Linked DNA regions of Astyanax mexicanus. The protein of the gene in region 3 interacts with the protein of the main gene of each other region in a pairwise test. Links are inferred from orthologs where the notes say so. Each region holds a gene or a part of one and is shown on either strand. Other genes may lie near its edges. The genes, in order: rbm42, trir, snrpa and leng8.

Region 1 (7,415 bases), on a different chromosome or scaffold from region 3:
AACACATCAGTTTAGTTTTGTTTACTAATATTTTCTTTTAAGTTACTTTAAAACACCCTCTAAAATTTCTACTCTAAAATCTTTCTCTGCTCTACACATATTTAATTGCTTTCACATGATTCTACTCTTTGATAGGTAATGTACATATTAAAAGTATAATGTTAAATAGGTCTATTGCCATTATATTCACAAATGTAGTACTGTAATGTATATCCTATTTTTTGATCTGACCATATGAATCCAGCAATCACATAGACTTGGAACAAGTATGTGGAAATATAAACACCAGCAGACGTGGAGAGATTGTGCATAGAGTAAGAAAATAGTTGTAGCAATGTTAAAAAACTTTGTAATAAAAGTACATCTTTATGTAATAAAAAAGTCTGTCCAAAAACAATATCTTTTTATTTTTGTGCCATTTTAAAAAGTAGAAAAACAGTTTGTTGCTTTAAAATATCTATTATTTTCTAAATTCCTGAGCTGTAATGATACAGCAAAATGAAAAATGCAATTGCTGCCACGCTTACCTCTAACCGCGTGTTCCTTAAAAAAGGTTAATATTATGCGCGACGCTGTCATTTAACTGCGACTACACAAACTCCGCCCTCTCCGTCATATCTATGGCGACATAAAACAAAATTAAATCTATGGCGCCATCTACAGCTGCAGGTTACAACGGTGCTCTATGGCAGTGGTTCCCAACCTTTTTCTTCAGGGACCCATATTTTTACCATTGTAAGCTTTGGTGACCCAACATACCCCCCCCCCCCCCCCCCCCCCCCCCCAAAATGTAAAAGATGTAAGTATATAATTGGGTTGGGGTACAAAAGGAAAAATTGATACATAAAACATAAGGAATTTTTATCTTATGAAGAAAAAAATAATTAGATCAATAAAATAATACAACTATTTAAAATGAATAAAAAATAATTTATATAAAATAAAAACAAACAAACAAAAAAAAGAATAATATCAGTTTCAAATCAGTAAAACAGCTCACCAAAACCTCAACCTGTCCAAATATTGGACAATAATTGATTAACTTTACAGGCCCTCACTCATTTTCATTTATTTAACTAAATTGAGTTTTATATTCTTATATTATTATATTATTATATTCAGCCTCGCGCTGAATTCAGCTCCGCGCTGCCGGAGAGAGCGCCCGCGCGCGCGCCAGAGAGAGAGAGAGAGACAGAGAGAGCGCAGCGCAGCGCGGCGAATTTTGCTTACCCTAGACTATATATAGTATTAAAATTAAACCCCTTAAAATCAAGAGGGCTTCGCGACCCATCGTGGATTTTTGGCGACCCATAGGTTGGGTCGCGACCCATAGGTTGGGAACCACTGCTCTATGGTATTGACAGCTACCGTCCAGACAAAAGCAGGCATGGCAGTATTTACATTAAATTCCTATTATATTATGAATGAAATTTGTTAAGAAGAGCTAGCTGAAGCCACTGTGTTGCATCTGGTTAAAATGCTGGATATGATGTACTCCGAAAAAAGTATTTATTGGAGCAGATTAAGTATGTTATATACAGAATAGATGAATGCAATTCGATTGTGTGAGTGTGTGATTCTGAAACAACAGATATAAAAGTAATACTTACTACTTGAAACACATCACTGACTAAAATTTGCAACACTAACATCTGAACAAAGATACACACTTCTTTGAGGTATTATCTGGTAATAATAATAGGCAGATCAGAAACAGCTAGAAGCTATACAGAGCTATACAAAAAGCTAATCAGTTAACATAGCATGTATATTCTTAAAAGTACACCTTCAACTTGGAAAGTAATACTTACAATCTACACTTTATGAAATAAAACTTTGCTAAGCTGTCCACCGTCCACTATCTCCACTGTTCCTCAAAAGAAGTCGTCTCTACCCCGTTTTGTAAGCAAGCCCCCAACTGTGGCCCCTCAGTCTCAGCATCCCCAGACTCGCGCTCTGACTGGCTAAACAAGCGTTGCATGCATATATATATGGAGGAGCTGAAGATAGTCTTTGGGCCAACTCTTGGCTCTTTGTCACAGAAATTACTATTGTATTATAAATCAAAACGAACCCGTTGCATCTTTAATTAGGTGTATTCTAAAAAAATAAAATAAACAGCAATTATGTGCACCCAAAACAGAAAACAAAATAAAGTAATAAAATAGAAATAAATAAGTAAATTCTGAAATCTGAACATGCAATTGAATTAAGAACTGCAAACTATGGAAAACTGCAAATCATGCAAAATAAAAAGTAATCAAATTTAGTACTTAAAGAGCAATAGCATGTAAAATTAAGTAAAAGCAGCAGAAGCAGAAGTGTTTGGGCTGTGGGAGCAACCCAGAGTACCCGGAGGAAACCCACTCATGTACATGCAGACTCCACATAGAACGGCCAGTACACCACCATGCCGCCTCAGCAGCAAAATAAGCAAACAAATTTAAACACCATACAAATTAACCTGAACAGTTAACTTTCAATATGTTTAAACATATAAGTTCAACATTTATTAAATTACCTGAAAAAAAATCAAAAATCCTGTAAAATATATTTTAAATCGTCTTTAATTTTAAGATAAGCAATTTGTTTAGCAGAGAAAAAAATGCCATCTTACTTTGCACGTTACTAATATATCACACTTTCGGATGAATGGGTCATTGTTGAGCCATGTGTGTGCATTTTAAATAGTAATTAAAAAAATGTTGTTCCTCAAGTAATAATATATATATATTTTTAATAATGATCAGTGTTAGTAAGAAGCAACATATTTAAATGACACTTGGAATTTTCTATCATAAAATAAATTGGTTTAAAAAGAAACTCCATGAAATATTAAAAAAGCTGGGAAATATATGCAGGGGATTTTTGACCCATGTTGTGCCTTAGAGGGGGTGTGTATATGTTGCGCATTAAAGGGTTAAGTTGTCAATGCTTGGCTGAATTGAAAATAAATGTATTCCATAGTGAAAAAAAAAAAAAACTAAAAGAACACTTTAATATTTGTTGATATACCTTTTACACGTTGGTATGTTGTGATTTAATCATAAAAAATGAAGTGTATAGCTGCAGCCTCGGAGACTGCAGTTTTAGGACCGCAGTTCTAGGACCCTGTGTGTTCGCTAGACAGCCACCTAAAAAAATGGTCGTGGACAGGACACGATGGATTACAGTCGGAATGTGAATCAAGTTACCGCCTAAATTAAATGTATTAAAATATTCAGATGTTTTGAATTAGACATCAATGTAATCTACACAGATTGTGACTGTATACGTAACACTAGCCTAAAAAGCATTACAAGCAGCTAACATTACGTGTTAACTTCTAGCTTGCTTCAAAACATCTAATAGCCTGTTAGTTATATTTTTAGTTATATATAAAAGATGACAAAGAATGTCTGTATCATATGTTCACTACGTTTCAGTACATTAAATCAATGTAACGTTAGCCTACTGTATTGGGTGTTAAATACTTATTTATTAAATAATGTTGTACCATAAAGTTAAGTTAATAAGCTTGAACAATACGTGTTGTTATTTGTAATAGTAATTTTATGAAAAATTTCAATTTTACTGATTATCCTGTCTGCTGTTCAAGATGCATGTAACAATTAGGTTATGTTTGTACCATCTTCAATATAACAGCTGCATGTAAGTTTCACGGGGGCTGCTTACTATTCATAAAAAAACTGAAAATCTTGAACATAATTGAGAGTTGCTCATATATTTGAAGAATATTGAGGATTTTTTTTTAAATATTGCCCAGCTCTAATAGACACTAGAGTAGTTTGAAGTTCCAAAAATATATCTTTTGTAGTTTGAATCCATTTCAGATATCAAATACATATAGCCCCAATCTTCCTTGTGTCTCCGATATTTGTGGTTGGGAGTTCTAAGACAAAGTAATATAGATACATAGATAGATACTTCATTGATCCCGAAGGAAATTTAGTAAATTCCTAAAAATTCATTAGGGATAAATAAAGTCCCTAGCTATCATATATTTGGGTAAAATAAACATTAAAAAGTGTAATAAGCCTTTAAATATGTACGTAGCTAAAGGTGTGATATTATTTAAGGTGTAGTAAGTCGTTTATTTTGGTAAGTGGCATTGTCGCGAAAACATAGGGTCCTAGAACTGCGGTCCTGAAACTGCGGGGTCCTAAAACTGCAGTCTCTGGGGCTGCAGCTATATACTTTTGAGGGTTTATTGGCTGGTAAACTTTTTCATGCTTGGCTGCATTGAAAAATTATGATTACCCCGGAGTTAAAATACATTTGAATAGATAATTTTGAGTTTTTAGCCATTTAGCTCCATTCACCCCATTCATTTAGGACTCCTATGTAGGCTCCCTCTATCGCGTGTTTGGTGTATAATCCGGCTCCGGTCCAGTGAGAGGCAGCACTGCACCATATAACTACATTAACGGGTTTACTAACCGACCAAACACACAGAGAGGAAGAGGAGACTCAGTACCCAGCAGTTAGCCGGCCTAGCTAGCTTCAGCTGGGGGTTATTACCTGGATTATTTTACCCTGCGAGGAGTTTTAGAGGTAAAGAGTCCAGTTTTAACTGATTACAAGCTCTACAGATTTCCTTGCTGTGTTTCAGGCTTTCTAACGCTGTTAGTTACTTATTATCCCGAGATAACTGAGCTAACTGAGCTAATCTAGGCTAACTGAGCTGTGCTAACTCGTTAGCGCGGCTGCAGAGTAGCTACAGGGTCTGTAACCTACTGAACACAGAGAGAAGGTCTAAAACTCAGGATTAGACTCGGTAAATTTGCAGTAACAGACTCAGTCTGACAGAAAACGCATTTAATATTCCGTATAATCCACTCTGCGTTCATACGGGCTATTTATTTATTTAGCTAGTTAGCTAGCGTTAGCTAACTATTTAGCTAACTGACTAATTTAAGTTGTTGAAGCTAACAAACTTCTAAGTCTGTTTTTCATGATTAACGTTATTTGACCAAGTTAATTAAGTAACAGCCATTTCTCAGTCGTTCTGTAACGTTATTTCTTAAGATGACTTTAGTCCTGTGTCTTTAAACCTCATATAAACTGGTGTATATAACGTTACAGCTCTGGAAAAAAGTAAGAGACCACTTCAGTTTCTCTGATTTTGCTGTTTATAGGTATATTTTTGAGTCAAATGAACATTGTTGTTTTATTCTACGGACAACATTTCTCCCAAATTCCAAATAAAACTATTGTCATTTAGAGAATTTGTTTGCAGAAAATGGGAAATGGCTGAAATAACAACAACAACAACAACAACAAAAAAGATGCAGAGCTTTCAGATCGAAGTTCATATTCATACAATTTTAAGAGTTCAGAAATCAATATTTGAAAAAAAAATAAATCAATACAATATTACAATAAATCAAAAATACACTCACACTAATTTATATACTAAAAAGGGGTTGAGAACCCTGATCTAAAAGAACAACCTGTCACCTACAAACCAAGTTTAAAAGTGTGCTCACACCATATTGAAGGCACTAGATAAAGATATTGGGTAATGCTAGGGCAACCCTGGGTCTAAAGCCCATATGGATCACTACCAATCACTTTATTTCTTTGGTTTAAACTAAATTCATTTAAAGGCAGAGACAGCAAACTAATAAGAAAATGGAGGAAAAATGTGGTATCAGTCCTATATTATAAATAAAGGTTAGCAACTTCATCTTGTTTATGTAGCAGATAGCACCTAAAACCCATTCAGATGATGCATACAATTACTAATGAATGAATATACCACTGAAGTCGTGTCGTCATTTTGTAGTTGGCGCCATGTTGTTTATGCCCATATTTGGGTTTCCGGGTCTAAGCCGTCCAAGTAAACGGCGACTTTCAATGTGCTTTTCAAAAACTGGCCTCTGTCCCATTCTCTGGCAAATAAATATGTTCAGAACCCTGTACGTTTTATTCTGTGTACATTTATTTAGAAAAATGCTAACTGTAAGCTAATGCTTAACTGACGTCACAGCACAGCGGCTGGAAATGTCCCCGGACTGGATTCTGCATAACAGCGAACTCTGGTCAGATCAAGTTTTTGATTATTATGCTTCTTCACAGAGGATCATTAAAGCATTTAAACAGGTGAAAACTCTTTCAGTTATGTTAAGCAGTGTGATGTTGAGCAGTGTAGTCTGTGTTAAAGCTTTAAAAGGTAGATAATAAGAGAGAATGGTTCTCAGTCCAGCAACGCTTCCCCGAAGGCTTTAGTATTAAATTGCTGTCATTAGTTTATACTAATTACAACACCAGACCCAAATAAACAACTAACTAATCAACCAATCAACTAACTACCTGCCCTCACTGAGGCAACAACCAACCAGAAACACCAATTTATTTCACTGCATAATAAAGAAGGTAAATGTTAAAACGTGTTACAACTGGTTCTGGAGTATCACTGACCTGTTTTAGTGATTTTATGCTGTGATGCTCTCAGCTCTTCTCAGTAAGGGCAGTTAGTTCATTAGTTGGGCCAGCTGTGTGTAAAATGCTCCTAACTTACGGCCGGAGTTCTCTGGTGTTGCGCTGAAAACAGTCCCCTGCTAATCTCTGCAGCGGTGCTGGGAGGTCAGTTCACTCCACTGTAGCATTAGCTTAAAGTTAGCAATAAATGATCTCATAATTCAGAGGATCCAGAGAAGTTCAGGAGTAAAATATACACAGAATAAAACATACAGGGTTCTGAACAGATTTATTTACCACAGAATGTGACAGAGACGTGTTTTTGAAAAGCCCATAGGGAAAAAACGCTTAGACATGGAAGCCGTAGTGGTCTATGGTGAAGAACAGAACTCAGTCACACTATTTTAGGTCCCCTAGCCAGCCAGTAGGTGGCAGCACCACCAATAATGCACAACAGTTCTAGGACCCTATGTTTTCACTGCCACCTAGCGATAGGACCCTATGTTTTTACAACACTGCCACCTAGCAAAGTGGATGTGGACACGATGGATTACAGTCGGAAAGTGAGTTCGGAATATGAACCAAATTTTATAGCCTAAATTTAATGTATTAAAATATTCAGAAGTTTTGAATTAGACATCAATATAATCAACACAGCATGTGACTGTACACACAGCCTAAAACGCCCCTGGTTTTTGTGAGTGTGTGAATTTTAATAGTTGAATTTTGTTGGATTCTTTCAGAAACCTGTAGAGAACTCTTATGCACATTTTTACACATTTCCTTAACTATAATACTGAAATACAAGTAGGTTATGTTTGTACCATAAGTTGTGAGCTATTAAGAACATATCCCACCAACAACATAATTTTTAATTCTGATTTTTATTTCTATTATTATTATTTATTTTTATTTATTTTTATTATTTATTTTTATATTATATGTACATCAATATTGCTTTCTCTAGTTAGAAATTAGAGATTGTGATATTA
Region 2 (6,884 bases), on a different chromosome or scaffold from region 3:
TCAGTTTCCACTGTGAGGAACATAATGAGGAAATGGAAGACTACAGGTACAGTTCTAGCTAAAATCTCAGATAAGCAGAGGAGAAGGATTGTGAGAACAGTCATAGTCAACCCACAGAGCAGCTCCAAAGACCTACAACATCATCTTACTGCATGTGGAGACACTGTGCATCGTTCAGCTATTAAGTGCACTTTACACAAGGAGAGGCTGTATGGGAGAGAAATGTAGAAGAAGCCTTTTCTGTGCACACGCCACAAACAGAGTTGCTTGAGGTATGCTAAAGCACATTTGGACAAGCCAGCATCTTTTTGGAATAAGGTGTTGTGGACTGATGAAACTAAAATTAAGTTATTTGGAGGACGGAATGCATGATGGAAAAAGAACACAGCATTCCAACACAAAAACACTTTCTACCCACAGTAAAATTTGGTGGTGGTTTCATCATGCTGTGTAGCTGTGTGGTTAGTGCAGGTATTGGGAATCTTGTTAAAGTTGAGGGTCTCATGGATTCCAGTCAATATCAGCAGATTCTTGAGAACAAAAAATACCTTTAACCAAAAGCCAGGCTCTCATTCGAAGCTATAGGACGTGTTTAGACTCTAAACACTTCCTATAGCTTCGAATGAGAGCCTGGCTTTTGCAGAAATAACAGCCTCTAAACTTTAGAGGCTGGTATTTCTGCAAAAGGAGGATCTACTAAATATTGGTGTAATTTTTATTTTGCGATGCTCACATTTATGCACCTGCCTGATTTTGTTTGAAGAATTATTGCACACTTTCTGTAAATCCTATAAACTTCATTTCACTTTTCAAAGATTTTTTAAAGAGTAAACACTGTTACTGCAGAAAAGGTGGGTCAAACAGGCGTTCTGTCCAGTTATGCTACCCATCAGTATGAACTTCTTACCAGGCACTGCACATGTGCTGACCCACAGTTTTAATGAGTGAACTATGTGCTGATAGTTCTGATCTTCGCACGTACATTTAACAATCTTAACTCACTTCCAAAACTGAAAATGGCAATTAATAATGATAATAAAAAATGAAAAATAGTAAACCAGCAAAAATACAAAAATACTTTCTAATAAGCTCTCTTTTTCTAGCTTTACCCTGACAAAGTTATTTACACTAATATACCAAACCTCTTAACTGGACTTCTGCAGGGATCATGTTCTAATATGGTGCTTTTTTGTATTTCTACCCATAAATATGACGCTATACGAGTAGCTCAGTCAGAACTCTGGCTGGACGAGGAGGAGGATAATTAATAATAGTACAATTATTTTAAAATGCATCTATAAAAGAGGCATTTGCTGTCAGGCAAACATTGCTGACATAACATGAAGACCCTATTATTTATTAACAACTATGAAGCTTAATTAAAGTGTATTATGTGTTTTAAAGTGTGCTAATGTGTATTCATGAGTATTTAAGTGTATGAACGTGTATTAAACTTACAGGTGGGTAACCCAGGTCCAGAGAGTAAAAATCCATCCCAGGGTTTTGTACCAACTGCCTGGGCAGCTTTGCTCTAGCTGAGATATGCACAGAGCCGCCCTGACAATTAGTACAAAACCCTGGGATGGACTTGTACTTTCTGGACCTGGGTTCCTCACCTCTAAAGCTGCAGAAGGTGATGTTTAGTGAGGAGGTGGTCAGACCTGTGTCCTGTGCTCCGGCTCTGGGGGAGTTCTCCATGCTGCAGTGAGGAGGAGCTGAATCAGTGAGTACACGGGGACAGCAGTGTGTGATACAGATGATACAGGAGATTCAGGAGGTGAGCGGATCCCGGGCTGGGGAAAACCTGCAGCTTCTCTCTCATAATAACCCGCAGATCACAACAGCCCAGCGCAGTAAACACAGCCAGCTTCCGGGCGGGTCACGTGACTGGTTTATAGCGAGCCTGCCCGCTCTCCGCGCTGCATCAGTAACTTGTTGCCGCCGCTAGAGGGAGCCCGCGAGGGAGTCTTCAATGAACACAAACATATATTAATGTATGAAAATAAAATTTTAAAGCTCCAGGTTGTATATACAATTTCCCAGATATAATGTGTTTAATATGCGCTCATTTTTCTGTCTAGTACCCTGTTGGAGCCTCTAGTCTGGATACAAGAGGAGTATGAGATGGTTGGGCATAGAGGTGTACAGGTTGTGTATGGTATCCTGCAGCACATTTACACACAGATGTTGCAGTTGGGCCTGTAGATCCTGCTGAAGCTGCGTCCAGCAGCTCCCATAAATGCTGGATTGGTGATACAGTGGTATGAAAAGGTTTGGGCACACCTGATAATTTTCATGATTTTTCTTCATAAATCATATATTTGGGCACCCTTGTCATTTCATTGATTTGAATACATTTTATGCACTGAAACTGTGTTGATCTCCAACATCAGAATTGATTTATTAGGAGGAGATACGTTCTGTCATTACTTTTCCACCGCGCTCCGCAAAACCAGCAAGCTGATTGGCGGTTTCTCCTGAGAGAAAAATTATTTGGGCCTTTCATTTGGCGCCCCCTGTAGTGCAGCGCCCCTATGCGCATTGGCTGCATAACCCCTTTTAAGTTGTATGTCTGGCTGCATTTTGGCTCCAGTGGAAACAATAAATGGTAACAGAGTGACCAAAAAGACACAAACCATATATAAATACTGTAAGTAAATCCTACACATGACTGTTTCATAGGCAGTTGTACTAATCCCTTAGCTCTGTACTGTATTAAAAAAAATGTTCTGTCTCTGTTAATTACAAGAGATTTAGGAGAAAAAACACAAAGCATAGACTTAATATGACTGGTTTTGGTTTGCACTTATTGTTTGCACTATATAAGATCTAGAAAAGTTTTATTTTTATTTTTTTATTCTTATTCTTATTTTTATTTCTTATAAAATCAATGTGTGAGAGAAACCAGTCTGTTAAGTTTGCATTATATGATTTTGTCAAATAAAACTCTAGTTTTCAAGCCATTTTTCATTTTTGAAAATCTCGTCTCGTTCTTGTGAACCCAGTATCGTGTCTCGTCTCGTGATATTAGTGTCTCGTCACACCCCTATTAAATAATATTTTATATTATATAATAAATATAATTAATCTGTTATTTTGCAGAGTAAACACTTGTGGGGAGAAAAATTGCTCATTTTCTGAAAATTTTATTTAATTACCAGCATACTGAACTGTGATAATTTTAAAGGCATTTCTAAAAGCTGATATTCACATTTAACCAGAAAATCAAGGCCTTTAACCCTTTCAAATATTTTATTAGGTATAAGATACCAAAAGAGTTGTAGGTTATTTAACGTATACAATCTCTCAACCATTTAACCCTGAATATCCATCCCAACAACACATTAGAAATATACAGCTTATATATATATATAATTATATATATATAAAATACATTTATAATGAATCTTGTTTCTCCAAGAAAGTTAAATATAATGGAGTTAGCTAATGTAATCAGAGAGACATAAACAGGAAGTGACGCAGATAAACAAACACGTTTAAGTGTGTATTCTCCTCTATAAAGACTCTCTGGCCGCGTCACCCTCCTATCTCCCGTTATAACCGCCAGAGGGAGCCCTCGAGTGAGTCGGCTAAATATAAATATAAAAATATATATATATATTTTTTATTATTATTTTTTTTTATTTTAATCTATCAATTAACTACATCCGGCTACAATCCGTATGTCGTATCTTAACTACTAACAACGAACCTAACTCACTCATACAGAGTTACATACTGATATTACCATGTTGCCATGGTAACGCGGTTGTCACCAGTACAGGCAGTTGTTTTTATAATTTATGATTATAGATATGAACGGCCTTAACTGCATGATTTATTGGGTAACATACCAGTGTACTGTAATATTGGTAATATTTCATTAGCGTTATTATTTAATATGTACATATTGTGTTGTTAAAAGTAACGTTATTTCAACACCCTGTGGAGAAAGCCATTGTTTTTACCGAGCTCCGAACAGGCAGTAATATATAATGGTTTTCATTGGTTTAGTTAACGTTACTGTTTACACCCGCTGCTCAGGAGTAATGAGTTATAACACTTAAAGACGTTATAACTAGCCTACGTTGCCTAATCCGCCCCCAGTTCTGAAGTTACAACCACGGGTTATAAAAGGGTTATAAGTGAAGTTTAAACGTTTTAAATAATATAACGTTTTATATATATGCTAAAATATGCTGTTCTGTGACGAGGAAAGTATGACTTTTTCAGTATGAAAATGATTTTATAATGAGTTTATAAAGTCTGAATTTACGCTCCATATGAACCCGTTAACTTTTGGTATCACTCAGCAGCGCCCCCTGGTGACGGTCAGGACTAAGGTGTAGTTGTAGTAGCGCTCCGTCAGGCCCGCAGGGGGCAGCACTCATATCAGCAGCAGCTGCGCCGCATTCCGCCTTTGTTCCTTCTGATGCAGAAGAAAGTGTAGAAAGTAAAGATGGCGGCGGAACGGGAGCGGAGTGTTTTCGGGGGATTTTGATAGAAACTGCGGCGTTTCAGGAGCTTTAACAGCCCGAGCAGGCCAAGCCGCGGGGTTAGGTAGCGGAGGGAAGGCCCGCAGGGTGATTGCGGTGCGGGTTTAATCCGGTTCATATCTTTAAACCCGGAATAAACACTACTCCCCCCTCCAGCGCTGCAGCGGGGCCTGCTCCCTCTCCCCGCCGCGCGGAGCTTTGGGCGGATCCGGGCTGATAAAGCGGCCCCCGGGCTGAAGCCTCTCCGGCTGCGGGTCACAGAAAGACTCGGTTCTTAAAGAATCAAATCCTAGAAACCTCCGCTCAACATGGAGGCCAAGCGGAGCCGCGCCAAGACCCAGCCGCCCAGCAGCGGCAGCAGCGACTCCAGTGGCGGGCCCGCGTCCCCCGCCAGTCCCGCAGCGCCTCCCGCCGCTGCCGGTAACGCGTTTGCCAACGACGGGAGCTTCATGGAGCTGTTCAAGAAGAAGATGGAAGAGGAGGAGAGGAGGAAGAGGGAGCTGCAGGAGGAGGAGGAGAGCAAGAGCGAGCAGATCAGTGCGGTCGCGGGACAGTCCTCTCTCAGCAAGAAGACGCTAAACCCGGCGGCCAGCTTTGTAAGGGGTTTAGCAGTTGCTCTAGCCGGTTAAAGACGGCCGCGCTAAATTAACCCTAGCTAAACACTGTACACTAATACTGTACATTACTGCATACTGAAACATTGCTGTCTTAAAAACACGAGAAACGAGCTTTATACATCTAAAATGTGCAGAACAGTAGAAACAGCAGCCACACACAGCTCTTTACTTCACCCAGTGCTCAGTGTGTGGGAATGGGCTTGTTATATGAGTCCAGCCCATCGTGATGGTTGAAGGTGACCATTGGGGGTTTGTCTCTGTTGATATGCTATTGGAGATGTATCTAGTTGTTAGTGTATTAGCAGGGCGGTTATGGTGGTGCTGTTTGTTTGTTGGGTGGTCTCATGTCTCGCTGTTGGGACGGGTGAAGCATACTGTAGATGCTGTCCTAAGTGAATGGCAGGCCTCCCCCCAAAAACGGCCCCTATAACGGTTTCAGTCTTCTCCCCTAACCCAGGTGGGCAAGCGGAGAGGCGGCGCCAAGTTGGCCCTCAAGACTGGCATGGTCGCCAAGAAGCAGAAACTGGATTCGGAGGTGGGTCAGATTTTCACTCACTTCCTTTTCATGCCATATTTGTGTCAGTTTAGAACTGTGAGATGATGCTTCCCCAAAAGGAATGCTGAGCAGCATAATCAGCAGGGACATTGCCAAACGGTGGTGGGATTGGAGGATAATCTCTGACCTGTCCAGTCCCTTTGGCACTGTCTAGAAAAGATACCGTCTTGGAGGGCTTTAGTCCATCATAGTGAGTAGAAAAGTGGATTCTTATAGGATTACCCCTATATCTTTGCCCCCCCTTAGATGGCGAAACTGTATTCTCTACTCCAGCTCTGGTTCAGTATGGTATACCAGTTCTGTCTGATGGGAGCTGGAGTAGAGCATTAGAGTGGGCATGACTTCCCTTCCTTATGTAGTAATGACTGATGTGTTCTTCATTAGTAGTGAAGTTCCTTTGCGTGTTTGGTTTACAGGCTGAGGCGGGTAAAGGAGACGCCTGGTCTAAGTACATGGCCGAAGTGAAAAAATACAAAGCTCACCAGTGTGGAGATGACGACAAAACCAGACCGCTGGTCAAATAGACTCAAAGGAGCAGCCGCCAGACCCTCTCTCTCTCCAGACTGCCAGGCCACCGAACACGCAGCCGATGAAAAGCCTCACTGCTTAATTTTTGTTTGGTTTAGTTTTATTTTTCTTCCCCTCGAACGTTTTGTTTATAGGTTCCTAATTTTAGTATGTATGCGGTCTGTGCCAGCTGCAGTGATGTATGGTGATTCAGATGCTTTTTAAAGGTGTCATTTGAGCCTTATTATGATAATTATTGTTATTATTACAGAACGTAAGAATATTTGTGGTGTTTGTTGTATTTGCACTGACATCACACCATGCTATTTTGTACCTCGGCTCCCCTTCCACTTTCCGTATCACCTGAATTAAAGGGTAAAATATCAAACCACTGCGGGCTGAATAGAGTGATTGTGCCATTATACCATTCATAGCACTTTAATCAATGCTTCAGTCACACACAATCTTGGGGAGAACTTTGTTTTAAGGTAAGCTCCTTTAGGCGTAAAATATGAAACCAGTGTAAAATTAAATATTTTTATATAAAATATATTCCCATTCACACAAAGACAAACACTTTCCTGAGCACCCTATCCTTGTGTTTGTAGTACATTATTAGAAGAGACACATAAACAAAAAAGTCACAATTCTCCTTAAGTAATGTACTGTTGTCCTGAAATGATGTCTTGAAAACCTGAAAGGTGCTTT
Region 3 (7,894 bases):
TTAAGTTTCTATGCATTGAACTAGTCTGCATGTAGTCCCTGATGTGTTATTTCATACCTGCTGAGGCATCTGGCCAGGCATTTGCCCTGGCATCATCTGACCAGGAGGCATAGCACCTGGGGGCATCTGTCCAGGACCCATACCAGGTGGTGGCATCATACCAGGAGGAGGCATGTAAGGAGGCTGGCCTGGCATTGGCATCATACGAGGAGCCTGACTCATAGGAGGCATTCCCTGCAAAATAAAGCAATACATTTAGTTACCATTGAAATATTCAAAAGTCTCCATACTTGCAACTCATGTTTTACAAATTAAACATCTTGCTAAAAATATCAGATATTACTATAAACTCACCGGCATAGCAGCAGGAACTCCAGCCATGCCAGGGGCAGCAGCTGGCACACCCTTCTTTGATGCACCGGCTTCAGTACTTTTAGGCTTCCTCTTCTCCTTCTTACGATCCCGCTCCACATACGTTCCCTTCATCTTCGCGATAATGTCAGAGTCTTGCTTGGCATACTGAATGCGCTAAAGAAGAAAAACAGAATATTTATCAAGTTTCACACATTTATTTACAATCGTAAACAACAGTAGCCAATGCCATTAAACTAGCCAACACATACCATGGGTTTATCATAAAATGGGAAACCCTGCATAGATCTCAGAGCGTTGGAGGCACTGTTGACCTCTTTGAAAATGACGAAAGCCTGACCCCTCATCTTCAGAGTGCGGGACACAAGGATGTCCAGGATTTGCCCAAACTGGGAGAAAATGGCATAAAGGGATTTCTTTAATTCTGTGGAGACAAAAAGATTGTTAGTTCATAGACTTAACAGTATTAACAAAAACCACCTAGCTTGCAAAGGAACCAGTTAAATTGTCCCAATACGGTTAATCTGGTTGATCAATTTAGCTGGTCTACAAATATTATAAATATATCCTAAACTAGTCAACCAGAATGACCAAGCATAATTATCAGCATATTTTCCAGAACAAAATGCTTACGGAACAGAAAGACCAGCCTAACCCCACACACTGTGCTGAGTGTAAATAATTGTGTAAAGCATCCTTGGTGTATAGAAACGCACTAAAAGTGTAACTTCATTTATTCATTCATGCTGGTTCACCAGACTGACTCACACTGGCCATTTGAAACCTACCAACAAAAGCTGGTCCTGAATTTACTTAGGGCGTTTTCACACCAGCACTTTTTGGTCCAGTTAAAACGGTTATTGTACTCGGGTGCAGATCACAACAACCGGACTGATATTACTCTACTAAAGGAGGTGGTTAAACTCTGGAGCGGTTTGCTTGTGTTAAGAACATGATCCAGTCTTGATCTGACCCAGATATTGAATATACTCCTTTTATTTGACCTAAACTACTTAAAAGGTGCAGTTTAATCTGATATACTAGCCAGATAAAAGTAATTACCACAGCTATGAACACTGTTTCTGCTGATTCATGCTGTTTACACGCTGTTTCGTATGTGCTGCACTCACTACTTACAGCTGCACTGCACATCCTATTAATAACACTGTTAAAAAGCACAGCGATAGAGCTTAGTTGTTAAAGCAGCTTCACACTGCACAGATATACATGCTGGAACACAGAATCTTCACTCTATATTAACTTTCTTGCTCCCATGCCAGACAGCTCTGACCATTCAGAGGAGGTACTGAGCTTGTGTTGTTTATTGGTGTGCATTTTGGTGTGTAAGTTTGTGCCTGTGTGAAACCAAACCAAACAGAGGGAGAAACGCCCCAAATAAACTCATCAACTGATCCGGACCATAGAAACCAACTACAGGTGTGAAAACGGCCTTAAGTTAACTTCTTTCGGCAGAACAACGCTAAAGATAAGGGCAGATTCAAATGTATCTTTCACACAGGTAAACCTACCATCTTTCTTGATTTTCTCATTCAAGTTGTTGATGTAAATGGTGTGATTCAGACGGAGCTCCTGGCCAGCCATCTCTCTAAGGAATGAAACAAAAATATTTTAAATAATAATATGTTAAACCACTTAAATACTACCAAATAACTAATTCAAAGAGAACACATAAGTTACTAAGTTTCGCAGAAGGCTAGATTAACTAACTAGCTATGCTCCACTGTGGAGCAATGTGATTAGCGGACTAGCTAGCTAAGTGTAAGTTAGTTAACCTAGCTAAGTGGATAAATAACCCAGAGCTATTAGCCTACCATATTTAAACATATATGTTTACTGTTCTCTAACTACAACTAAGCTGTACAAAAATGTAAACAGGATGAACCAGAATCGAACATGTGTATGGAGGGTATGGATAGCTTAGCTACGAGGCTAACTCGTAGCTAGATAACTATTATCTAGCTACGAGGCTAACTGTGGAGCAATATGACAAACTAGCTAGAGAAATAAGCAAGTTCTTCAATTAAAATATACATAAAATATATTAAAATGACAGCTTCTTCAATTAAACCTGTAAAACATGACAAAACAATGAAAACGGGTGCACTATAGGTTCGCTATCCTTTCTATCTAACGTCGGCTAGCTAGTCGAGACGCTAACAAGCTAATAGCGGCGCTTGTTCAAACCAGCTGAGGCTCAATCCCAAATAACCACAAACGCCCTCCAGTACAAATGCGTTAGTACACAATGTGCTATACTATATCGTCCCCAATGTACCCCAACTAGTGCACTAGACCACTCGTAGGAGGCAATTTAGGACAAGGCCCAACCTAACCGGGCAACTTGAAGCGAAATAAAGAAAACCACTAAGCCTAACCAAGCTGCCTGTGTTTAAAGCTCTATTAATTAATTTCATAAAACTTTGCCTACAGAAAAAACGACCATATATTACTCCACATACAGATAAATAAAATAATGATAAAAGTATACTCACAGCGGTCAGAAACCAACAAATAAGGCTTATAGTAACAAGGCTGTTAGCCAACCACCAACACGCCGCACGGGAACAGAACGTAACCCTCTCAGGAAGTCCCGCCTCTCTAAACATCAAGCTCTGCGATTGGACGTTTATCTTCAGATAAAGTCTTCGATTGGTTAGGTAGTACCGCTGACTTTGATTCTCATTGGCTATTGAAGACTACTTTTACAAGTTCTTTGATCTGATTGGTGTGCCCAGCAGAGAAGCTTTAGAAAGGAGAATACTCACTTATAAATCTCACCTGGGATCATCTGACAGTAGAGAGGGTGCTCCCAAGCGGGTCCAAAATGTACTACATGTTTCAGCATCACACGCATAATTATTAAAGCTTTTAAACTCCAGTTATAAACATTTTAAACATGTTCTGTCTCCAGCATTAGCTCACCACCCAGTCAGCTCTCAGTAGCTGTAACGCTAGCGCCTTGAACCTATAAAGCAGGTAAGTTTTCTTTGCTCTTTTAGTAAATTAGTTTATTTTACTACCAAATTAAAGAAATATCCTGGACAGGTTGTTTTTCTAACTATGTTTTATTTGAGTTTTAAGCCGGTTATCTCCATATACCTCTATTCTTTGAAGATTCATTCGCGGGCTCCCTCTTCTAGCGGTTGAGTGTAATTTTCTAATATAACGGGGGAAGTTGAAAGTAAATGGGCAGTCTTTTTATAAACTTGCTGTGGTGATTACTCGCGCCTCTCAAGAAGTCCCGCCTTTCATGCATCTAGCTCTGCGATTGGACATTAATCTCCAGGTTGTAATGCCAACTTTTATTCTCATTGGCTATTGAAGACTACTGTTACAAGTTCTGTGATCTGATTGGTGTGCCCAGCAGATACTCTTTAGAGAGGAGAATACCCTCTAACGAATCTCATCTGGGTTCATCAGACACTAGAAAGAGAGAGTCCAAAATTAATAGATTTATATGGAGCAACGGAGCAAAATCAGAGTTTATGAAGAGTTTATAAATGCTTAATCATTTTATATTAAAAGAAATGTTGCTTATTTTTTCAACACAGAACAACATTAGGGAGATGTTTCAGCAACACAGCCATACCTATTAAAACTTTCAAACTATAATTATAAAGCTTTTAAACTAATTCTGGGTTAATCAGATAATAGAGAGGGTGCTCCTGACTGAGTCGAAAATAAAGGGGTTTATAATGGAACAACTGAGCAGAATCAGAGTTTATAAATGTTTAATAATTTTCATGTTTAAAAAATGAACGTATTTTTTTCAACACAGAACAATATTAGCTAACAACAATGTTTCAGCACCACAGCCATAACTATTAAAGCTTTTAAAACTCCAGTTATAAATCTTTTGGTCAATTTTAGCATCAACCAGACATCTTTCAGTAGCAGAAATGCTCGCGCCTTTTCTTGCCTTAACCCCGTTTACTGTAGAAAAACCTGAAAAACATAGTTAAAACTTGTTTGCTTTTTTTAAGAAATCTCTTCGACAGATTTTTTTTAACTTTACTTTAGTTGACATTTTGCCGTTTAGCTCCATTCACCCACATTAATTCAGGGACTCCCTTGCGGGCTCCCTCTAGCGACTGAGTGTAATTTTTTTTTTAAGTGCGCAGTCTCTCCATAAACTTGCTCTGTCAGATTCTCAAGAAGCCCCGCCTCTCTAACATCTAGCTCTGCGATTGGACGTTAATCTCACTGCCGACTTTGATTCTGATTGGCTAATGAAGGCCGCTTTTTCAGGTTCTGTGATCTGATTGGTGGGACTAGGCTGTGTGTCGCTGGAATGTAGCACCGGTCTGTGTTTGTACTGTAAGTAGTTGAATTTGGTTCATTTTGACTCGATTTTAGGATAATTGAGGCTTTAATTTACAGTATACTCAAGTAACGCGAAACAGACCTGTAGTTTAAAGCAGTTAGATCGGGTTTAGCTGTAAATGTGTCCGCAGGCTGCGAGTACTTGGACATATATCCTTATTAGGAAGAGGTGTGTGTGTGTTCAGACTGCAGGCTGAGTTCTGAATCAGGTCTGTACAGTAGTGAGTGTTAGATTTAAGCTGCAGTAATTGTGGTGTTGAAAAAAACAGTGACATTCTGTATTAGAGGAGAAATCCGGTGTTAAATTTAATTGGGTTGTGGTAAAACATACAGAGAGCCTATGGTGACATGTTAAAAAACTATTAATGCGTGGCCACGACTTATTCAAGGTTAATAATGCTTGGCCAAAAGTCGGAAGGCATTGGAACGAGTTTTTTAATTCGCCATTAAGCGTGGCCAAAAGTTCTTTTTTTTACACCTAACAAAGCAAGCAGCTCTTAGGGGCTGTTCGCAATATGACTGTCTCCATCTGAGCCTGTGAACTTTTAGTATGGAAATTAAGTTGCTTTTATTAGAATTATTTCATGTCTCACTGCAAGAGACTCCAAAATATCACCATACTTCATTCCAAGATGAAAAAAAAAACAGTTAATTCTCTATTTTCTTACAACAGATTATTCTTGGATTGGAGCTTTGATGTAATATTATATTATACATATCAGTTTCTTCATGGGCATTAATTTACAGAAAAGCAAGCTTTATTATTGTTTGGCTATGACTTTATTATCTCGTTCCCACGCCTTATAAGTCGTGGCCATGCATTTTTTTTTTAACATTGTGTCACCTTAGGGGCTTCGTACAAACATGTTTTACAAGAACAAGCTTTTGTAGAATAGCTCACCTCCATTCTCCCCCAGCATTCCCAAATACATGGATTTTAGTCGATACTCCCAACAGGCTTACAATAAAGTGCGTCACAGAGGCACATCTAGCAGTCTCTTACCATGAGATACACTTTTCAAAAGTCCAGAAACTTTTGCTACTCCTTCTCTACTCCTCTACTGTTGACTCTTGATGAACTGAGCCAATCAAAACACGCTTTTCACACTTTCGGCTCACCTCTAATACCGGCCAGCCAATCACAGCTGCTCAGATATGGCAGTCAGCACAGATATGGCTCTTCTTTTAAGCGTGTGTTAATTGTGAATGTTCAAACTCAATAAAAAAAAAATTATTGAAAACTAATTTATTAATTATAAAATCCACAAATGACTTCCTTGAAAAGATACTCTGGGTTTTTATAGAGAAGCAGGAGAAGCACTTTTACACCCTCTACTGCCTGAGACAGAACTGTATGCTGAGTTTTCCAGGGTGCAATCAAGGGTGTTTATTTTTTTTAATGAGTATATATTGTGACTTGTGTCTGTGAAAGATCTTTTCTTTTCTCACTTATTAGTTCAGCCGGTAAGAGGCCATGTCAGGGGATCTTCCACCTCCACCTCTTCCACCTCCACCAGCCTCTGTTCTGGCTCCCCCTGTGTCCAGTAAGAAGAAGCTGTACCAGGCTATAGCTGAGAGGAAGGCCCCTGTGGAGGGAGACTTTGAGGAGGCCCGGTTACTGCTCGCCCAGAGAGAGGGCAGGTATAAGACCCAAAACCCAGAACAGTTCCGTACATAAGACTAAATTACGAAGAAGTGTAGAAAAAGTGTACTAGTGCATCTCAAAAAATGTAATTGAAAAGTTACTTTATTTCAGTAATTCATTTCAAAATGTGAAACTCATATATTATATAGATGTATAACACACTGAGTGATCTATTTTAAGTGTTTATTTATTTTATTGTTGATAATTATGGCTTACAGCCAATAAAACCCAAAATTTATTGTTTCCGAAAATTAGAATATTATATAAGATCGATTGGTACTTTTGGCAGTGTGGGAGGTGTGCCAAGTCCTGCTGGAAAATGAAATCTGCATCTTCATTAAAATTGTCAGCAGAGAGAAACATAAAGTGCTGTAAGATTTTCTAGAAACACTGCACTGACTTTTGAGTTGATATAACACAGTGGATCACATATATGATATAACACCAGCAGATGACATGACTCTCCAAACCATCCCTGACTATCAGTAAATTTTGCATTTGATTTGGAATTTAAGGGTCCAAGCTGCTTGAGGTCTAGTGTGAAGTTTCCACAATCAGTGATGGTTTGGATGGTTTGTGATAATATGTGATAAAATCATGTTTTTTGTGCATTACTGGGGTAGACTCTATCTATATTTTACTGTTAAATGGTATATTTATTGGCATAAATATACATATGGTTGTGATAAGTCATACTATATTTTCTTCCTGAAGTTTCAGAAAGGATCTTGACTGGGTGCTGTGCAACAAATATGTGCCGTCATTGATTCAGGATGGCCCTAAGTGAGTAAAAAATAGTATTCTTTTGTAAATCTGATATATGTAATTACAGTCACATATAGAATGAATATATAAAACAAGCAGTTTTCTTTCATTGACCAATTACTTCTGGTTTAAAGTGATGTATTAAAGTGCTCTGTTATGGAGAATCAAGAGAGACAGAATTCATTACAGTAGTGGTAATTTTTATGCTTGTAAGTTAAATGACAACCATATTTGTGATTTTTTTTAGATGTGGTTTAGTGGCGTTATGGATGGCAACCCATCTGCTAAGGCCTACAGATGCAATATCTGTGGAGAAAGTCATTCAAACAGCACTGGAGAAAGGCTACACTGCCCAGGGGGAGATGTTCTCAGGTATGGTGATCTGACCTCTGCCTTTAACCCATGCATGCGGTGAACACACACACTGGCAACATTCAGGTATAGGTCATTGACAGGTGTGAGATTCTTTTTATGTGCGGTCAGGCTGTTCTGCAGTCAGCCATATTTTCATTCGCTAATGTTGTGTGTTTGGCTGATTTTCCATGTTCTAAAGCAGCTAACGCTGCTAATGCAGGGCTCACATTAATAACTTAACTTAAACATGATGCTTTGTGATGTCATGCATTATAAACACATGTGACTGTCATTGATTGGTTAAACTCTTGATATTACCCTTGAACCCAGATATTAAACCCACAACTCTTGAGTGTCAGCTTGTCAAACCCAGGTAATGAACCCATAGCTCTAAATGACAGCTAACCCACAACC
Region 4 (6,977 bases), on a different chromosome or scaffold from region 3:
ACTGTTGTTGGTTCTGTTGATACCACTGATAGTACTGTTGTTGCTGCTGCTGCTGCTGTTGTTGTTGTTGTTGCATTGCAGAAGAGTCAGTCACTGAAGTCTGGTACTGTCCAGCCTAAACATAGAATTAAAACATCATTCGTACAGCAAAAACAAACATTACAGAGTTGGGTTTAGCATAAAACAATGTACTTACAGAGGAAACCATTTCCATCATGTTTCCCACATTTTCCTAAAAAAAATGTTGTACAGGGCTAGGACATTAATATTAGCTAAGCTAACTTACCCATGGCATTGGTTTGTTTACCTAAAAGCTGGTTGTCTCTTACAGTTTAAATTTCAGGCACATGTGATCTACTGTGGCTCAAGGATACCTCACCAGTGTTATTAACTTTACTGTGCCACACTCTTCTCTAAACACTGGGACATGGCTTCCCGCAGAAAAATTTCAGAGTAGGGCTGCAACGATTAGTCGACAATCAATGCTGATTCTAAAATTATGTTGACACCAAATTTCAATGTCGACTAATCATTCATTTGGAACTGCACCAAACTACACAAAGGGTATTGAGTTTACTCTGAGCTTGGTCACCAAAAGTGCCCAACGACAACAAATGACATAATTACTTCCTAAATATCTGAACTTTTCAAATTTAAAACTTATTCTGGTCATTAAAGGGACCTTAATTACCATGTTCAGTTGTTTCTATTGCTTTTAAGCAAAGATAGAAAAGGCTAGGAACAGAAGACCTACACACATGAAGCAAAGATAAAGGACACTGCAGAAAAAAAAATAGACTAAAATCTAAATTGACCAACAGAAAAATTTTATTTTATTTACTCAATGACCAGCGTATTTAACATGCAATGGCCGAGTCTCTTCCTGCATTAAATACCTTTGTGATCATAGGTTCACCGCTGCCATGCAAGTATTGCAGAGAAGTTATGAATTAAATATTGTGCAGCCCTACTATTCTAACCTGTGCAGTGGTGCGGTTGGTTGGTGAGGTCTTGGTAGAGTTCTGGCTTTTGCTAATGGAGGCCAGAGCCTGTCTGGCTTTCTCCCACTCTGGGTTTTCGTGTACCGGAGCGTCACTGCCGGAAGTGTTTCCATATGACCTGGAAAACAGAGATAAACCACAGTAGTTACGTTTATGAACAGTGAAACCTTAATTTAGAAGTTGCAAGTATGTTTTTTCTATGAAAAGCCTTTTATATATTTAACATTTCAGCTCACACAGACTAGGAATAACAAAATGTACAAACCTACATTTTAACAGTGTAGCTTAACTGCTGTAGCTAGCTAGCTAGAATACAATACAAACTGTTACTGTTGAAAGCAAATATAACATCAAACTAAAGGTGGGCGACATGTCTTTAAAATAATATTATAATATTTCATGGTATTTTCGTGATAATGATACTCTTGCCGATATGACAAAACACAGAACTAAAAAATAAATAAATAAATAAAATCAAGAATACACTACTGCAACAAACTGCAATTGATACGGTGCGATATTTCAGAGTAAATTGTGCACAATATTAAAAATTTTGGCAATATTATTGTGCACGATATGATATGGCACACCCCAATATCAAACAATCAAAAGTTTTCCTGAAGAGAAAAAATTTCAAAATATTGTAATCCTCACATTTTATGTAAATTTGAAGTCAGCGGTCACTGTATTATTAGTGGTATTGTTTTAGATTCAAAGCATTTTTAAATGACAAATAGTAACTTATATTACCATTTTGTCTTCCTCAAATAATCAGCCAATTTTTCCCCTATCAGAAATAAAGCCCAATTTTTTTTTTGTTCTAGGCCTGTGCCATATCATGTTTTTTGTCATCTGTGAATATCTTCATCATCACAAATTAATTATAATTATATTTAATGGACATGAGGGTACAACTTTTTGCTGTTTGTAGCAAAAAGAAAAAAATCACACTGCTCTCATTTCCAATGAAACCTTTACTATTAGATTATATCTGTCCAGCATCATTGATTTTACTTCATAAATATGTATTTAGTCCATTAATATCATGACATGACGTCTTATTTGTTACAATCTGCTAAAAGTCTCAATTAGGGGTGTGCCACATCATATCACACAGTATGCAGTAACGTTAATTGCACTAAATAGAATGTAATGTTCATTTTGTTGCAGTAAGTTACTGTGTTTCTGGAGTTGTTTGTTAAAAATTCAGTGTTTTGTCACATAACCAAGAATATATCGCTATCGCAAACGTACCCTGAAATATCGTGATATTACTTTAGAGCCATATCGCCCACCCTAGTTTGCGTTTAAATAAATTATAGCTAGCTTTAGCTTAGCTAAATGAGGGTTAGGTAGGTTAGGATACAAATACAACGATTAACGTTACTAATCTATAGCTAACGCTAGCTCTCTTATTCTGATAACTAACTTTATAGATAGGTTAGCTAGGTTAACAGCTTCAGGTTCAAGCTTAACCAGTTAACTTACCAGTTAGTAGGTTAGGATGTATTTAACATTACACATAAACACTAAGAACTGTTCACTACAGTAACTAACGTAGGATAGCTAACCTAGTTACCTTAAATCATAACAAATAAGACAGCTTACGAATTCCCAATTCAGATACAGTTTCTGAATATCTATATCTCATTCTGTGGAGGTTTATTGAGGTAAATTATGGAATATTAGTATCTTACCAGCCGGGAGTCGAGGCCTGCTTCGCCGCGTTTGTCGCCATTTTGAGGCGCCGTCAGCGCCCGCTATCACAGCTAAGCTACGCTAAGCTAAGCTAATTAGCTCACTAGCTAAACTGGATTTCACTCCAACGCAGAAACTCCTCCGCTCTCTACAATCTAGAAGCGCCCAATCTAGGAGAATATGGCGATTACGTAGCTAAATAAAACAATACACTGTAGCCCAGAGCACTGCTGTCTCTAAACAATACGGTTTAAACCATAACATAAACTAACCGCATCCAGCGCGTCAACACCCAACACAAAATGGCTCCTGGCTTGAGACTTCAGTGACGTAAACGCGTCCTCTCCTCTAATTGGTGGAGAAAATGTTTATTTTTAGTTATTTAAATCTAAAAATGTATTTAGATGTATATATTATTATTATTATTATTATTATTATTATTATTATTATTATTATTATTATTATTATTATTATTATTATTATTATTATTATTATTATTCTTTCTTGATAGGTTGTATGTGAATCAGATTTTTTCATGACTGACCTGTATCTGTGTGTTATGTGAACCAATCTGTTCTTGAAATGTCTCACATGCACACAAAAACTGTAAAAACTGAGCTGCTAACACATCCATTTCCCTTTATAAAGCTTTTTTGAGCAATGTAGCTTGCAGTGTGAACATAGCCTTTGTTTCAGAGACACTTTCAGTTAAAAAAATGTGTCCCTCAGGGCTCAATCCTAGGCCCACATTGTTCTCCATATACATAAATAAACTTGCTCTCTGTGTTTAAGATTAATTTATTTATTTTTATGCTGATAACACAGTCCTTTATGCAACTGGTCCGTCTCCAGAGGCAGACAGATCTAACTTACTTTAAAATAATTTTCTTAGGCCTCAACAAGCTTTTTTCACTTTAAATCCTCAAATAAACACCGCTAAGACAAAGGTATTGTGTTTTTACAAGAAGGGTTTTGTACCCAGCCCTACCAGGATATTACTACTGTAGAAGGTGATAAAATAAATCAGGTCACAGAATATAAGTACCTGGGTATCTGGTTAGAAAGTACCTTGTCATTCCCAACACACATTAACAAGTTACAGACTAAGGTTAGGTCTAAAATTGGCTATTTGTATAGAACCCACTCCTTTAGTCGCGCTACCAAATTTACCACAGTCCAAATGACTAAACGAGCAGAAGATACCAGAGCATCCCAGCCTCTGACACAGCTTCTTCCACCAGGCAGTCAAATTCCTCAACACACAGAGTCAGAGCCTTAGATCAGCCTGTTTTAAGGTTAAAACTATACTGATTCCCTGAAAAAGGCTTTGAAGCCTATTTTCCAAAGTATACACAGCACATGAATCACACAAAGAAAATAAAACAGAGATCATGGTCATACTAGATTATATATTGATTCTGATAAAAATGATTAAGATTATATACTGATTATTAATTTAATTGAAAATAACATAATACACTATAAGGCAAAATACCTCCATATTCTTTCAGTAGAAATGTTATCTGTACTAAATAGAGTAATTATTTAACAGACTACTTTACTTACTTCTACTTCTGTGCTTTCTACTAAAAAACTGCCTCTCTAAAAATAGCCTTGTTACTCCTATTTCATTTCAGCTTGTTTTCATCATTTTAAAAAACCCTATTCAGGTAAATCTCTTTATCAAGATCCATCAAGAGTGAATCTGATTGTAGTTGAATCAATCAAGTAATCAAGAAATCCTTAAATAGAACTTGTCTGACAACATAGAGCAGATAAAAGATCTTAAAAAGCAACACATTATACCCCAATCTAAAGAAATTAAAAAACAGATGAGAAAACAAAAAGTCTTTGATCATCTATCAGTCTGGAAAAGGTTACAAAGTCATTTCAAAGGCTTTCGGACTCCAGCGAACCGCATGTGAGAGCTAATATTCACAAATGGAGAAAACATGGAACACTGGTGAACCTTCCCAGGAGTGACCGGCCGACCAAAACTATTCTAAAAGGTCATGGACAACTCATCCAGGAGGTCCAAAAACCCAGAACAACATTTAAAGAACTGCAAGTCGCACATGCCTCAGTAAAGGCTATTGTAAAAAAAGACTGGTCGAAAATGTTCTCCATGGGAGAACTCCAAGGCATCTAATCTGTAGGGGGAAAATACTTTTTCACCCCATTATAAATATAAGGAAGTATGGAAGCCCATTATTTTAAGATATCTCATTATAATGAAATACATTGTTCTTTGAGATGCTATCTCATTTTGAGATACACACTCTTTAATCTGAGATGCTATGTCAATATTCTGACATAGTAAGTTCTTATTTTGAGATACTAAGTTGTTATTTTAAAATTCTACCTAGTTATTTTAAGATGCTACGTTTTTTTTTAGATCGTGAGTCGTTATTTTGAGATATTAAGTCGTTATTTTAGATATTAGGTCGTTATTTTGAGGTAATGGTTTTACAGAAGCTATGTAAAGGCTTCACTGAAAAAAAATAACATTTTTTGGCAGAAACAAAAACACCTTCATAGTATAAATATAAAAATATATATTAGTGTGTGATAAGTGCTTCTATAAGGAAGTGCTGCTGTGTGCTGGTGTTCTTTTGAGCTGTTCCTGCAGAAAGGAACAGCACGGCTTCCAGCATTCCTGCCCAAAAAAGACACGTCAGGCACGTATCTCAGGATCCTGGCCCTATTCTCCCCTCTTCTCATTGGTCCAATAAGAGCGAGCAACAGCTGATCGACAGCGTGACTGACGAATCGAATCATTGTAAACAAACCCAATCCCCGCCTCCGCCCGTATCCGATTGGGTAGAAACGCAGCGCTGGACTGTGATTGGTCTGAGCGTTGCGAATAGGGCGGGGCGTGGGGTGGTGTATTATTGTTTGGGTAGAAGTGGAGCAGGCGACATTTTAAAAATAGAGCTAAAGGGATCTATAGCGAGATCTGCGGGGATCGGGCTGATTGTTTAGCGGGTAGTATCGGTACCGCCGCGGGCAGGCTGTGATCCAGCGCAGGGTTCTGATCCGGTATCTCTGAATCCGCTCCGCTGAGTAAAGGAAAGGTAACGCTGGGTTTTTGCTGTTGTTTTTTAGATCAGCTGATCGACCTGCAGCACGGGCTGGGGTTTGAGCTGGGCTGCAGAGAATCAGTATTATCTAACTTATATTATATATTATCTAAAGCTGTTAGTTTACAGATGGGTAAAGTCTGTACTGAAGCCTGTTAACTCGTTAGATTTTTCTGGAATTTGTTGTTGTGGGTTTTTGCTTGTGGCTAAATTTTGCGGTGCTCATCTGACCACGTTACGAAATAGCGGGTCACACACACACACACAGGCTGCTGGAGCTCTTTACATTATTTAACTTAGGCTAGATAGTTGATTTTCTCAAAATATTACAACTATTCTTTAAGTAATATGATTTTAACGTAGGATCAATGACCCTAAAACATATTAAGCTATACTAGGTACACCTAATAACCAATTCTGAGAAAAATCTCATCATTGCGAGATGCTGAGTCATTATTTTGATATACCAAGTCATTATTTTAAGATGCTAAGGCATTATTTTGAGATGCTATCTCATTATTTTGAGATACTATGCCATCATTTGGATATGCTAAGTCATTATTTTAATATACCAAGTCAATATTTTGAGATGCTAAGTCATTATTTTGGGATATCACATTATTATAAGATAGTATATCAAAATAATGTGATAGTAAGTCATTATGTTGATGTTCCATGTCATTATTTTGATGTTCTAAGCCATTATTGTAAAATGCTAAGTCGTTATTTTGGTATACTAAGTCAACATTTGAGATGGTAAGTCATTATTTGGGATACTGTCTAATTATTTCATATACAAAGTAATTATTTTGAGATACTAAGTCAAAATCTGAAATAATAACTATATGTATTGGCTGAAACAATGGCCCTAACACACTGTACTATAGTAATAAATAAAACTAATAAACCATTTTGAGATCATATCCCATCATTGTGAGATGCTGAGCCAATATTTTAATGTACTAAGTCATTATTTTGAGATACCTTCTCATTATTGTAAGATGCTAAGTCATTATTTTAAGATATCGAGTCATTATTTTGAGATCAATATTCTGAGATGCTACGTTATAATTTAAGATGGTAATAATATGACTTTAATGTTGGAAGACTGACCCTAAAACATACTGTACTATAGTAAAAAAAAAAAAAACATCAGTTGTTCAGCCAGCATGATCATCACCAAAGTGGTTCACCAACA

Evidence for each region.
Region 1: the proteins of snrpa (region 3) and rbm42 interact in a two-hybrid assay, tested with the Homo sapiens proteins (2 studies listed by BioGRID and IntAct). The link is inferred for Astyanax mexicanus from reciprocal best matches to the Homo sapiens genes SNRPA and RBM42.
Region 2: the proteins of snrpa (region 3) and trir interact in binary tests that used the Homo sapiens proteins (3 or more experiments, as listed by UniProt). The link is inferred for Astyanax mexicanus from reciprocal best matches to the Homo sapiens genes SNRPA and TRIR.
Region 4: the proteins of snrpa (region 3) and leng8 interact in binary tests that used the Homo sapiens proteins (3 or more experiments, as listed by UniProt). The two-hybrid records come from large-scale screens. The link is inferred for Astyanax mexicanus from reciprocal best matches to the Homo sapiens genes SNRPA and LENG8.

The regions. Positions count from the first base shown.
Region 1 is NC_064408.1:113,944,195-113,951,609, reverse strand, and holds the start of rbm42 (RNA-binding protein 42), read left to right. Parts: upstream 1-4,399; 5' UTR 4,400-4,554; intron 4,555-7,415. UniProt on the Homo sapiens protein: Binds (via the RRM domain) to the 3'-untranslated region (UTR) of CDKN1A mRNA.
Region 2 is NC_064410.1:18,318,824-18,325,707, reverse strand, and holds trir (telomerase RNA component interacting RNase), read left to right. Parts: upstream 1-3,879; 5' UTR 3,880-4,804; coding exon 4,805-5,092; intron 5,093-5,570; coding exon 5,571-5,648; intron 5,649-6,085; coding exon 6,086-6,193; 3' UTR 6,194-6,567; downstream 6,568-6,884. Other genes in the region: mcoln1b (mucolipin-1b), read right to left, coding at 1,662-1,698. UniProt on the Homo sapiens protein: Exoribonuclease that is part of the telomerase RNA 3' end processing complex and which has the ability to cleave all four unpaired RNA nucleotides from the 5' end or 3' end with higher efficiency for purine bases.
Region 3 is NC_064416.1:32,625,496-32,633,389, forward strand, and holds the start of snrpa (U1 small nuclear ribonucleoprotein A), read right to left. Parts: upstream 3,002-7,894; 5' UTR 2,886-3,001; intron 1,979-2,885; 5' UTR 1,975-1,978; coding exon 1,902-1,974; intron 797-1,901; coding exon 624-796; intron 529-623; coding exon 355-528; intron 235-354; coding exon 58-234; intron 1-57. Other genes in the region: c9h19orf54 (UPF0692 protein C19orf54 homolog), read left to right, coding at 6,191-6,357, 7,076-7,144, 7,374-7,498. UniProt on the Homo sapiens protein: Component of the spliceosomal U1 snRNP, which is essential for recognition of the pre-mRNA 5' splice-site and the subsequent assembly of the spliceosome. U1 snRNP is the first snRNP to interact with pre-mRNA.
Region 4 is NC_064413.1:6,576,851-6,583,827, forward strand, and holds the start of leng8 (leukocyte receptor cluster member 8 homolog), read right to left. Parts: upstream 3,023-6,977; 5' UTR 2,740-3,022; coding exon 2,699-2,739; intron 1,120-2,698; coding exon 981-1,119; intron 116-980; coding exon 1-115.